2 linked regions of the Saccharomyces cerevisiae S288C genome follow. Changing the gene in region 1 together with any one later gene gives a genetic interaction. Each region holds a gene or a part of one and is shown on either strand. Other genes may lie near its edges.

Region 1 (7,429 bases):
CAACTGTCTGATTCATTCAAGGATGACCCATCATTACGCGCCATGGGAGATCTATATGACAAAATTAAAAGAAAGGCTCCATATTTGGTACAGCCTAATGTACCAGAGAAGCATAACATGAGTACCCAGGCAGACAACTCAGATGATGAGGAATTACAAAAAGCACTAAAAATGTCTTTGTTTGAGTACGAAAAGCAAAAAAAGCTACAAGAACAGGAAAAAGAAAGTGCCGAAGTCCTTCCGCAGCAACAGCAGCAGCATCAGCAGCAGAATCAAGCTCCTGCTCACAAAATACCGGCACAAACCGTTGTGAGAAGAGTTCGGGCTCTATATGACTTAACCACAAACGAACCGGATGAATTGTCCTTTAGGAAGGGCGATGTTATTACAGTGCTGGAACAAGTATATAGAGATTGGTGGAAGGGAGCTCTTCGAGGAAATATGGGTATATTTCCATTAAATTATGTAACACCGATTGTTGAGCCATCGAAAGAAGAAATTGAGAAGGAAAAAAATAAGGAAGCCATAGTATTCTCTCAAAAAACTACCATAGATCAACTTCATAATTCGCTTAATGCAGCTTCTAAAACGGGAAATTCAAATGAAGTTTTGCAAGATCCTCATATTGGAGATATGTACGGATCTGTAACGCCTTTGAGACCTCAAGTTACGAGAATGTTAGGTAAATATGCTAAAGAAAAAGAAGACATGTTATCCCTGCGTCAAGTCTTAGCAAATGCAGAACGCTCATATAATCAACTAATGGATCGTGCAGCTAACGCACATATCTCACCACCAGTTCCAGGCCCTGCACTCTACGCAGGAATGACTCATGCTAATAATACTCCAGTAATGCCACCTCAGAGGCAGAGTTACCAAAGCAATGAGTACTCACCTTACCCTTCTAATTTGCCAATCCAACATCCTACGAATAGCGCAAATAATACCCCACAATACGGTTATGATCTTGGATATTCAGTTGTTAGCCAACCACCACCTGGTTATGAACAATAGCCCTTCAACTTATATAGCACCTTTACATATCTTTAATTTTTACGAAGAGCATTTTATTCAACTTTTGTACCTTTAAAGACGGTTTTCAGCCCACACATTTTTTGTTATTTTACACCACACAGTAAAACTTTCTTGCTTTTTTTTCTTGAGACTCCCCGACCATTGTTCGATATTCCAATTTTCGCAATCTTCAGAAAAGGGTATCCTAACATTCTAAATTAATAATAAAGAAGAGAGGCTACAAGCATTTATTAGTGTGAAGCATTTAAAGTAACTTCAGGAAATAAACGCGCAAATAAACCAAAAATGTCCACTGATTCTATTGTTAAAGCCTCCAACTGGAGATTAGTCGAAGTCGGCCGTGTCGTTTTGATCAAAAAGGGTCAATCCGCAGGTAAATTGGCTGCTATCGTTGAAATTATCGACCAAAAGAAGGTATGTTGAACCTAAAACCCACCGTGGACAAACTGAGGAGGAAATTGTAAGGAAGAGAAAGTCCCCGTATGTTCAGGGACCGCCAACGACTTCCTGATTCATGCCTGAATAGTGAAACATGTTAAACAATGAGTAGATGCTGAAATATGCAATGGGACAGAGGGCCGGAGATGTTTCTATTCTTTTTTTGCATAAACAACAGTGAAATTTCTACATATTTTGTTACTGGCAAACTCCTTCCCTGGCAGTTAATAACTCCCATACTTAAGAAGATAACTTCAGCACATGTAGCCATACCTCCTCAATTGCCAAATAATCTTTTCCTGTTTTCAAAGTATTTCAATTTACTAACAACTTTTATGAATAATTTTTTAAATTATTCGTTATAATTACTATAGGTTTTGATTGATGGTCCAAAAGCTGGTGTCCCACGTCAAGCCATCAACTTGGGTCAAGTTGTCTTAACTCCATTGACCTTTGCTCTACCAAGAGGTGCTAGAACTGCTACCGTTTCTAAGAAGTGGGCTGCTGCTGGTGTTTGCGAAAAGTGGGCTGCTTCATCTTGGGCTAAGAAGATTGCTCAACGTGAAAGACGTGCTGCTTTGACTGACTTTGAAAGATTCCAAGTTATGGTTTTAAGAAAGCAAAAGAGATACACTGTCAAGAAGGCTTTGGCTAAGGCTTAAAAAAAGAAGAATAATTCTAAAATCCATAGGTAAGTACTGAAAGCAATTTTGCGTTCCGTCAATGCATATTATATATATTAATCTTAACCATTTATGTAAACAACATATCATTTCATTTTGTTCTGGCCACATTCCCTGTTCCTCTCAATATAGTGATGTTTTATAAGGGATATTCTTTGCGGCTCCATTATAAATACACTTTACCATGAGAGTTTCCTCACCAGCTATATTACTCGCGCCAACTACCATTCGACGCAAGGAACAAAAAAGCATCTAGATAATAGTAGAGAGGTGGTGATACACCCTCAGGTTGCTATGACGATATATTCTCCGTAAATTCTTTCTTACGATTATTCCTTTAGATCGGCAAGAGATTTGGGCTTGAGGAAGCGATAAAATTCTTTGTTGACAAAACTCTCCCTTAGTGCTTGTGAAATAAACATCAATAATCATTTTTTTATTTTTCGCGTTTTTAAGATAATGTCTTAACCAATTTTCTAAGTTCGGAACACAAAACCCAATGTTTAATCATTTTTAATAAACAATTTAGTATATATATTATTTTAATTTTATTAAATTAATTAAAATTAAAAGAATTATTAGTCATGTGATTACCATCCTACTTATTATACTAAATCGTTTTGTGGATGTGTAATTGTTGGAGTTCTTCTTATCTACTTTTTAACTTGTGTGTAATTAGAGCTGTACATTCAAGGTAAGGAATGTAATGCACCAATGATTACCTAAATCAAATTCGAAATATGTATCAGTATATTATAGGAATGTTAATTCGCTCGTGCGTACTAATTTTTCCGAGGTCACTCGCAAATCCAGAATTCTAAAGGATGAAAGTATATTTTCTGAAATCGTCAACAAAGAAGGGATGTGATATATTCAAAATGGAAAGATTCCTCCTTCTTTCATTTAGAAATAGGAAACTAACCAGTAAATTAGAAACAAAGAATGGCTCTCAATAAACTAAAGAATATACCTTCTTTAACAAACAGTTCTCATAGCTCAATTAACGGCATTGCATCCAATGCTGCAAATTCCAAACCAAGCGGAGCAGACACGGATGATATCGATGAGAATGATGAATCTGGGCAAAGTATTCTATTAAATATTATTTCCCAGCTGAAGCCAGGTTGTGATTTATCTAGAATCACACTTCCGACATTTATTCTGGAAAAAAAATCGATGTTGGAGAGAATCACTAATCAATTACAATTCCCAGATGTTCTTTTAGAAGCACACTCCAATAAAGACGGGCTGCAAAGGTTCGTTAAAGTGGTAGCATGGTACCTAGCAGGTTGGCACATTGGGCCCAGGGCTGTGAAGAAGCCCCTAAATCCCATTCTTGGAGAACACTTTACAGCTTATTGGGATTTGCCTAACAAGCAACAAGCCTTTTACATTGCAGAACAAACGAGTCACCATCCTCCTGAATCTGCGTATTTTTACATGATTCCAGAATCGAATATTAGAGTTGATGGAGTTGTTGTGCCAAAATCGAAATTTTTAGGAAACTCAAGTGCTGCAATGATGGAGGGGTTAACTGTATTGCAATTCCTTGATATCAAGGATGCAAATGGTAAACCAGAGAAATATACTCTATCGCAACCAAATGTTTACGCAAGGGGAATTCTGTTTGGCAAGATGAGGATTGAATTGGGAGATCACATGGTCATTATGGGTCCTAAGTATCAAGTGGATATTGAGTTCAAAACAAAGGGCTTTATTTCTGGTACCTATGATGCAATTGAAGGTACAATTAAGGATTACGATGGTAAGGAATACTACCAAATTAGTGGTAAGTGGAATGATATTATGTATATCAAAGATTTGAGGGAAAAAAGCTCTAAAAAGACTGTTCTCTTCGATACTCATCAGCATTTTCCTCTAGCTCCTAAAGTCCGCCCATTGGAGGAACAGGGAGAATACGAATCGAGAAGGCTTTGGAAGAAGGTTACGGATGCGCTGGCTGTACGTGACCATGAAGTAGCTACAGAAGAAAAGTTTCAGATAGAAAACCGCCAAAGAGAGCTGGCCAAAAAGAGGGCCGAAGACGGCGTTGAATTTCATTCAAAACTATTTAGAAGGGCAGAGCCAGGTGAGGATTTAGATTATTATATTTACAAGCACATCCCTGAAGGGACCGACAAGCATGAAGAACAGATCAGGAGCATTTTGGAAACTGCCCCGATTTTACCAGGACAGACATTCACTGAAAAATTTTCTATTCCGGCTTATAAAAAGCATGGAATCCAAAAGAATTAGGCTTCTCATTCTATTTTAATTATACTAGTACGATTTCTCACTCTGTAATTTAATATCAGTGTAATATGCACCTAGTTATGGGTAGTTTTTGCTAACGTTACGAGCCGCGAAACTGTCCTCAATCTTCACCACTACCTCTAATGACTGAAGAATGCTATGCGATATAACGCTGTCGCACTTTGAATATATACTTATATTTACATAGTTTTCAAGTGCGTATTACTATTGCAAAGTAGTATTTTGTCACGTGATTTTGATCCAATTAAAACTAAATATGGTTCAACCCGTTGTTTCCGCATCAAAAAACCATACCATTTATCAAGGGGACGGGATATATCACATAACAGTTTGAATGCATAATTTGTTATAGATATCTTCTGGAATAATCTTCACAGCAAAAGCGCAAGTCGAATAATATATCGATAAATACAATCCATAAGACTTAAAACTAACCTCAATGGCGGTAAGTATCCTATCATATTATGTGAGCTAGAACCGAATTAGTATACTAACATTTATAATACAGTACACTTCTCATCTGTCTTCAAAAACTGGTCTACATTTCGGTAGACTTTCTTTAAGAAGTTTAACAGCTTATGCTCCGAATTTAATGTTATGGGGTGGTGCTAGCATGCTTGGGCTATTTGTATTCACAGAAGGATGGCCTAAGTTTCAAGATACGCTATACAAAAAGATTCCGTTGTTAGGACCTACATTGGAAGATCATACTCCACCAGAAGATAAACCTAATTGAAGCCAAAACATCCAACCGGCTGAGTGATTTTATTTATTTGTTTTACGTTCTTTTCTATCATTTTGGAAGAGGAATTAATGCAAAACACATTTGTATTTTTTTTTATTTTTGCATATTCTCGATTATCTATACATATTTTTAAACTGGATCATAAAAGGTATAAAAAGTAATTGATCCATACAACATTTTTAAATATTTACCCCTCTATTTTCAGAATATTTACTAAAACATCAGTTATCAAAGAGTAGGGAAAAGTTAACTACAGGTTTGTTTTTCCTCTTTTTATGTATCTTTTGAGCTTTGTAATTGGGCAGCACATCTCTATGTTTTCAGGGAAACCTATTTCATTCGCCATTTTGATGATTTAGGCATACGCCAATGCTAACGCCGTTTCTTGTAATTTCTATTTTTTCAAATGGAGTACTTTACCTTCCTCCCGCAGCTGGAACTTTCAACCCGCCGGAAGAAAAGACCAAATAATATTATAATTAATATTTAAAACCCTTGAAAGATCATCTCTTAAAATAACCTCAAATAGTGTAAATCCAAGCACTTGAAAACTTTGCCGTTTTAGAACTCGTTAAATCCTTTAAGAAGGACATAACAGCCAGAGTAACAAAATAGTTTGCTCGTGAAAGCACCAGTGAAATTTCTCGAGGTAACTGCTAAAATAAACACAGTTCTTAAGTATGACGCGAGATAGCCCAGATTCTAACGACAGCTATAAGCATATAAACAAGAATACTACACAAAAAACCTCGTTTGATAGAAATTCATTCGATTATATTGTACGATCGGGATTAGCTGGAGGTATATCAGGTTCATGTGCGAAAACACTAATCGCACCCTTAGATAGAATAAAAATTTTATTTCAAACATCAAATCCGCACTACACAAAGTACACAGGCTCACTAATAGGATTAGTAGAGGCAGCCAAGCATATATGGATCAATGATGGGGTAAGGGGGTTTTTTCAAGGCCATTCAGCAACCCTTTTAAGGATTTTTCCATATGCTGCTGTCAAATTTGTTGCTTATGAACAGATTAGGAATACCTTGATTCCCTCAAAAGAATTTGAGTCACATTGGAGAAGGTTGGTGAGTGGTTCACTGGCAGGATTATGCAGTGTTTTCATAACATATCCGTTAGATCTCGTGAGGGTTAGGTTAGCATATGAAACAGAACATAAGAGAGTAAAGCTAGGAAGAATAATCAAGAAAATATATAAGGAACCAGCTTCAGCCACGCTAATCAAAAATGATTATATTCCTAACTGGTTTTGTCATTGGTGTAATTTTTATAGGGGTTATGTTCCAACTGTACTTGGCATGATACCATATGCAGGTGTTTCCTTTTTTGCTCACGATTTACTTCATGATGTGCTGAAGAGTCCTTTCTTTGCCCCTTATTCAGTATTAGAACTTTCAGAAGATGATGAATTGGAAAGAGTACAGAAAAAGCAGAGAAGGCCTTTGCGTACGTGGGCTGAATTGATCTCTGGTGGTCTAGCTGGTATGGCCTCCCAAACGGCAGCATATCCATTTGAAATTATTAGGAGAAGGCTCCAAGTAAGTGCACTGTCACCAAAAACTATGTATGATCATAAATTTCAATCGATATCTGAAATTGCTCACATAATATTTAAAGAACGTGGAGTACGTGGATTTTTTGTTGGTCTAAGCATAGGTTATATTAAAGTAACACCTATGGTTGCATGTAGTTTTTTCGTCTATGAAAGAATGAAATGGAATTTTGGCATTTAATTATGCATCGCATTTTGTTTTATTTGCATATCGCAATGAAACCGTCTATTCGGGTTCTATAGGAAGTACACTGCATTACACTATGATGTAAATAGTATTAATAAATCTATATTCAATATGTTGTATTTTTGATCTCCCATTGCTAAGAATAGTACTCCTCCTCTTTAAAAAGCCTCTCAATAAAATCGAGAACTTCTTCAGAGTATACAGCTGTCAGTTTCTCACCATCCAGCAAAATCCTTTTTTCGTGAATTTCTTGCTCTTCTTTCGTCATCAGAACAACATTGGTTAAGGAGATTTCTTTGTTAGCTTCCCATTTTGTTAGAGCTAGTTTCGTAGAGTATCCGCTAATAGGAGACTTGCCTCTAAACATTTCTTCAACTATATAACCGACCTCTTCTAATCCAAGCAATGACGATCGCTCCTTATTTTCATTCAACCGCGCCATCTGCTTTTGGAAAGTCTCTAGGATGCTGTCATAAAACTTTAACCTATTTTTG
Region 2 (5,296 bases), on another chromosome or scaffold:
CTAAAGAAAACCTCGGAGAGTAAAAACCAAGTATGCACCTAAACAATTGATCACTTTCAATTAGGAAATAAAATCCCTTGATTTAGACGAATACTGTAGAATGCAATAAAAGGTTTTGTGATTCTAATCTAGTCCCTTACGTTATGCACCGCTTTCAGGAAGGTTATGGGCTGTACCATGAAATCAAAGGTGGCTCATAACTAGTAAGTAAAAGTAAATGTCCTTTTTTTATGCAAGATCTAGAACGATTCGAGTATGGTGTTGATACCACTGTGGTAAGTCTTTCAAGCTACACGCAATTACACACACTCACAAATCTAGTTGTATTTACTCCTTTTATTGTTGCTAGTCTAATTATTCGTCCCACGATTTTATCGTTCTTTGAGTATTTCGGGTCTCAAAAGATTGCTAAATGAAATAACTCTTAAAAATTGCTTCACATAGTCTTGTTGTTACATTCACAATTCACAGCTTTCCGTTGCTCATCGCTTGATAGGAATATATTATGATAGGGATTATCCTGAAAGTTTCAGCAAAACGATAATTACTTCAGCTTTTCTTCGTCTATTTAACCTAGTTTTCCGTCATAAATCCGTTCTCTTAAAAGCACACCTACTCCACTTTCTGAAATAACATAGATATTGAATTTGACTTAGATTCATATATTAGAAAAATCGAATAGTTTCCTGTGCCTAGAAATTCTAAGGTGCCATTCCAGAGGATTTTTATGACAAAGATGAGATGTAAGAATCAACTTTTTTTAATATTTTATATCTTTCATCAAAGAAACATCACAATGTATATTACAAAGTGGAGAAGCATCCAAAATATAGCTGCAGTGAGAATTCATTGAACTGTATCAACTGGGTGGAAAATGTCACAGTCACTTATGGAATTCTATGATTTTATTCAATAGAAAACATTTAGTAAAGCTGGTAACCGACCTTTTTTTTTTACACATTTTTTTTTTTTTTGCTGATTATACCTTGCATTCTAACACCGGGTTCTGATGTTATCACCTACTTTGTATCTCGCATCATTCTTTATTTGGTAGACACGTCCCAAAATGGAGGATGCGCACTAACGAAAATGAAGGATAATGCAGTGAGAATGATAATTTTGATATTGATAGGATCAATTGAAAGCATATCACATGTTTTTTGTGAAATGTTGTATAAGAGATAGCGCTCTTGTTGGGTTTCGATAGGGGGAATGTGGAGTATCTGATGTAACACTGTAGTCTTATTTCTTGTCATAAAGAGGGACTGATTGGGGTGAGGCATATTATATTATAGGAAAAATTGCAGAATATCTAGGTAGTAGTCGCTTCAATAAATTTTTTTCCGACACAAGAATAATGAGACAAATCGGACTATATTTGACGATTAAATAAACCCAAAGCACCCCTATGCTATATGGGGGAACTTTAGAGTAAACAAGGTTGAAATACGTCAATTTGTAATTTCATAAAATACGTGAGGTCTTTTTGTGAGAGATACTTGCCCATTTAGATTTTTGTCCATATCGTGATAATTTTTTTGAGTTTTAATTAATGTGCTCCACCATCACAGAGTGTGTACCAGTGCAACCCACTCAGGGATATGCTTTAAGTCATATATTCTCGCTCTATGGGAACCATAAGCTGGACACATTTCTTGAGGTTATTTAGTAGCGAAAAATGGCGCAATGTTACTCTTTCACTTCTATTATATGGGGCTACAATGCCAATAAGGATTAATGGGTAGCGATTGTGGTTTCTTACCTTTGTGTAGTTGCGTAGGCTTTTTAGTGTATCAGTGAGCAAATTTAGTCCAAAAAGATCGCCAGCGAAGACTGTCGTATCTGGATCATTCGTAGTATCGATAGCTTAGCGATATTCTCGAGGATGTAAAGACAGCAGATTGGAGTTCTGATAATTTTTCATTACTTTTCAGTGAGAGAGTGCCTTTCTCGTTTTATATCTCAATCCTACCCGTAGAACTGGTCTGCTATTCTCATTTATCATTTTATTTCAAAAAAACCTTCAGGAGACAAACTGATTCCATCAAAGGCCTGTTTGCTATCTAGGACAATATTCGAGCTTAGTAAGTCACTTCCTGAAAACCATTCTGCTTGCGAGCCCGAAGCTTTGTGGCAATCAGTCTTCCACATCTGTTTGCAAGGGTGTTTTATTTCATGTCGTGAGAGATTTGTGATTAAAGCTGTTTTTATTAATCAGTTAGCAGCTTCATTCTCTTGAAGGATATATATAATTTTCTCAGATTTCTTCCGAATAATATTTAATCATTGAAATGGCAAAAATAAAAATTACTGTCAGCTACGCTATCTTTATATAGCTACAAAAAATTAATGGCCACTAAGCAATTACTGAGACGTCAAATCAAAAGGGTAATAAATGCTCTTGACTACGATATTATCGCTGCAGAGTCGCATACTATTTCTCAAGCAGTACGCTCATTGATCGCTTCCGCCAATTCTAGGCGTGTAGCGTGTTATATGAGCATGGATAAAGGAGAAGTAACGACTGGAGAAATCATTAAGAATTTATTTCAAGATGGCCAGGAGGTCTTTCTGCCAAGATGTACTCATACTTCTGAATCGAAACACTTCAAATTACGGGAAGATCATCATCCACATTTAATATTCCATCGAATGAGTAGTTTGAAAATGGTTCGTGATTTGAAGCCTCAAGGTCCATATCAACTAAAAGAGCCTGAACCGCATATTGAGGAATCAGATATTCTAGATGTCGTATTGGTGCCTGGAGTGGCGTTTGATATTAAAACTGGTGCAAGGATGGGTCACGGTGCTGGGTATTATGACGATTTTTTCCAACGGTATAAGATACTGCATGAAGGCCAAAAGCCCCTCCTAGTTGGACTATGTCTTATGGAACAGGTGGCCTCTCCAATTCCTTTAGAAAAACATGATTATTCCATGGATTGTATAGTATGCGGAGATGGATCCATACATTGGTTTCAATAATTTCATATATGTATTATTTACATGGTACAGCTATTGTATAAATAAATAAATAAATAAATAAGTAGACGGCAAATCTATTTTTCTTCTTTTGGATTCCCTTGTTCGCTAGAAAACGTGGCATTAGCTTTGACCAATGTCCTGTTGCCACTTTGGTCCATAAGTTCAGCCTTTAATTTAGTTTTGTTACCGTATTGCTGAAGATCGGTGGTTCTTACTACAACAAATTGATTAGCTAACGTGGGGAACTTGTACGAGATACTCAAATTCTTGGTTTCTTGGTTTATATTTTTTGTTCCTTTTTCGAGTCTAATGGCCTCCTTCATTAAATCTTCAATAACTGTTGCTAAAATGCCTCCGTGAATTAAGAAAGGATAACCAGTAAGTTTCATTCCTAAATGGTATAGCCCGACAGTTTCACGCCTACTGGGGTTGTAGTAAACTCTTGGTGGTATAGCGACGCCACCTGGTGTATTTAATGCCCTTGACACTAACAAGTTCTCCTCTTCATTAGCAATCACTTGTACAAAACCAGCATTCTCCAACTGTTTTACTATGGGTAGGCCATTTAAACGTCTATTCAGATCAGCGTGATATTTGACGACTTCATCTGCGTTCTTGGGTAGGGCATCATATCTCCAATAAGCTAGTAAGTCCGTGAACGTCATATGCTGTGTCAAGTACCACCCTCCAAGAAAACTTCCCCCAAAAATTGTCCATGGAATCCATCTTCTTTTGGGTTTAGAGGCTGTCTTGAAAACAACGCCATTTGTATACGTTCTTATCTGGGCTATTGCGATTCTTTTAAACATCTTGGCCTTGCTGGTACGGTCTCTTTCTCTTCCTTACTTTTCTTAGTTTCTTTATAAACTCTTTGTGCACTTTGTGAGTTTGTTCCTTTTCTGCCAAGGGGTATGCCTCATCGAAAATTAATCAATCTTTAAATAAGGTATTATGTTAAATAAATGAAATGTAAAATGTGTCGCTAATGGAGTACTTAGAGACATTTTTGGAAATCAGTTTTGTGAAATATTAGAAAGAATTCCTTTTGTTTATTTGCTCAGAGTACAACATCTCAAGACTTTTATTCCTGTTGCAAACCAATGTTCACGTACGGTGACCCAAAATGATGGCAGTCATAATCAAATCTAATGGAAGTTGAAATCAAGAAACGATAATGTAATAGGATTGTAAATTACAACTTACAAAGCAAAAGAAGTAATAATAATATGCTATTTAGAATTGCCGATTCTCTTTTATTGATTCCTGTATCTTTTGAGGAGAACTTCTAGTATATGTCTAATGTCGTTTTACTAGAAATGGGACCCCTGAAAATCGTCAGCAACTTTCAACTGAATCTGAGAATGATGCTCAAGTCGTCATTTTATCTTGCAGAAGCTAAGTGCAGGAGTTGATAATACAGCAGAATTAAAAGTGACAACGCAAGAAACAAAAACAAATGCAATCTCAATATTATGTGAAATTGATGATTTCGTAGCGAATCATGCGCACTGTGGGAGAAGCCTGGGTATAATTATGTATGCTAATACTGTTACGTTTATCTGAGGTTTGTGTGAATTTTGTGATAATTATCGGGATTCCATTGTTGATAGAGGCTTCAATACTATGTATACAGAACATACTAGAACTTCTCCTCAAGGGTATAGGGATCCTCAAATTTAATCGGTATTTGCATACAATAATATTACGATTATTTTTCCTATCGTTTTATATGCTTCATTTTCCCATTACATTATCAATTCTTGCATTTCAGCTTCCATTAAACTTGCTAACTCTTTCTCAAGCTTCATTTCATCTTCCTAGATCTCATATGATACTATACCAGCAGCAAGAATGCTACTAAATGGATGATATTCTAGAGTTTCATTTCATCATCTACACGAAGGGATGGGGGCATCTGAAGTATTTGAAACGTTGCTATGATTTCATAATTTATGCAGGTTTAACACAGATTACAGGTCTCTTGGCCCAGTTGGTTAAGGCACCGTGCTAATAACGCGGGGATCAGCGGTTCGATCCCGCTAGAGACCAATTTTTTTGAAAATCGTAAAAAGGCCCAAAAGGGAGAGCACAGCACGTTCTGCTTAAAAAAATAAAAAATGATGTCTTCAATAAAACATCTTAAGGACCAGTTTGTAGATCTGCGAAGTTGTTGACTAGATAAATTATAATAGCAAACAAACAAATAGGACAATGTCAGCGGAGAACATTAGTACTGGCTCGCCGACGGGCAAGCAGCCATCCTCTGAAGTTAATCTTGGCGAAAGAGAAGCTGGAACAAAAAATGAGAGGA

Evidence for each region. A genetic interaction does not mean that the proteins touch.
Region 2: of LEU5 (region 1) and FMP10, a mutation in one rescues a mutant of the other (synthetic rescue), as found in Saccharomyces cerevisiae (2 studies listed by BioGRID, with this or other methods).

Annotation. Positions count from the first base shown.
Region 1 is NC_001140.6:102,957-110,385, forward strand, and holds LEU5 (coenzyme A transporter), read left to right. Parts: upstream 1-5,855; coding exon 5,856-6,929; downstream 6,930-7,429. Other genes in the region: ESCRT-0 subunit protein HSE1, read left to right, coding at 1-1,014; 60S ribosomal protein eL14 RPL14B, read left to right, coding at 1,321-1,449, 1,848-2,135; oxysterol-binding protein related protein OSH7, read left to right, coding at 3,099-4,412; QCR10 (ubiquinol--cytochrome-c reductase subunit 10), read left to right, coding at 4,870-4,875, 4,939-5,166; TCD1 (tRNA threonylcarbamoyladenosine dehydratase), read right to left, coding at 7,072-7,429. UniProt on the Saccharomyces cerevisiae protein: Required for the accumulation of coenzyme A in the mitochondrial matrix.
Region 2 is NC_001137.3:551,023-556,318, reverse strand, and holds FMP10 (Fmp10p), read right to left. Parts: upstream 3,795-5,296; coding exon 3,060-3,794; downstream 1-3,059. Other genes in the region: TOG1 (Tog1p), read left to right, coding at 1-23; FAU1 (5-formyltetrahydrofolate cyclo-ligase), read left to right, coding at 2,350-2,985; YER181C (uncharacterized protein), read left to right, coding at 4,523-4,846; SLO1 (Slo1p), read left to right, coding at 5,197-5,296.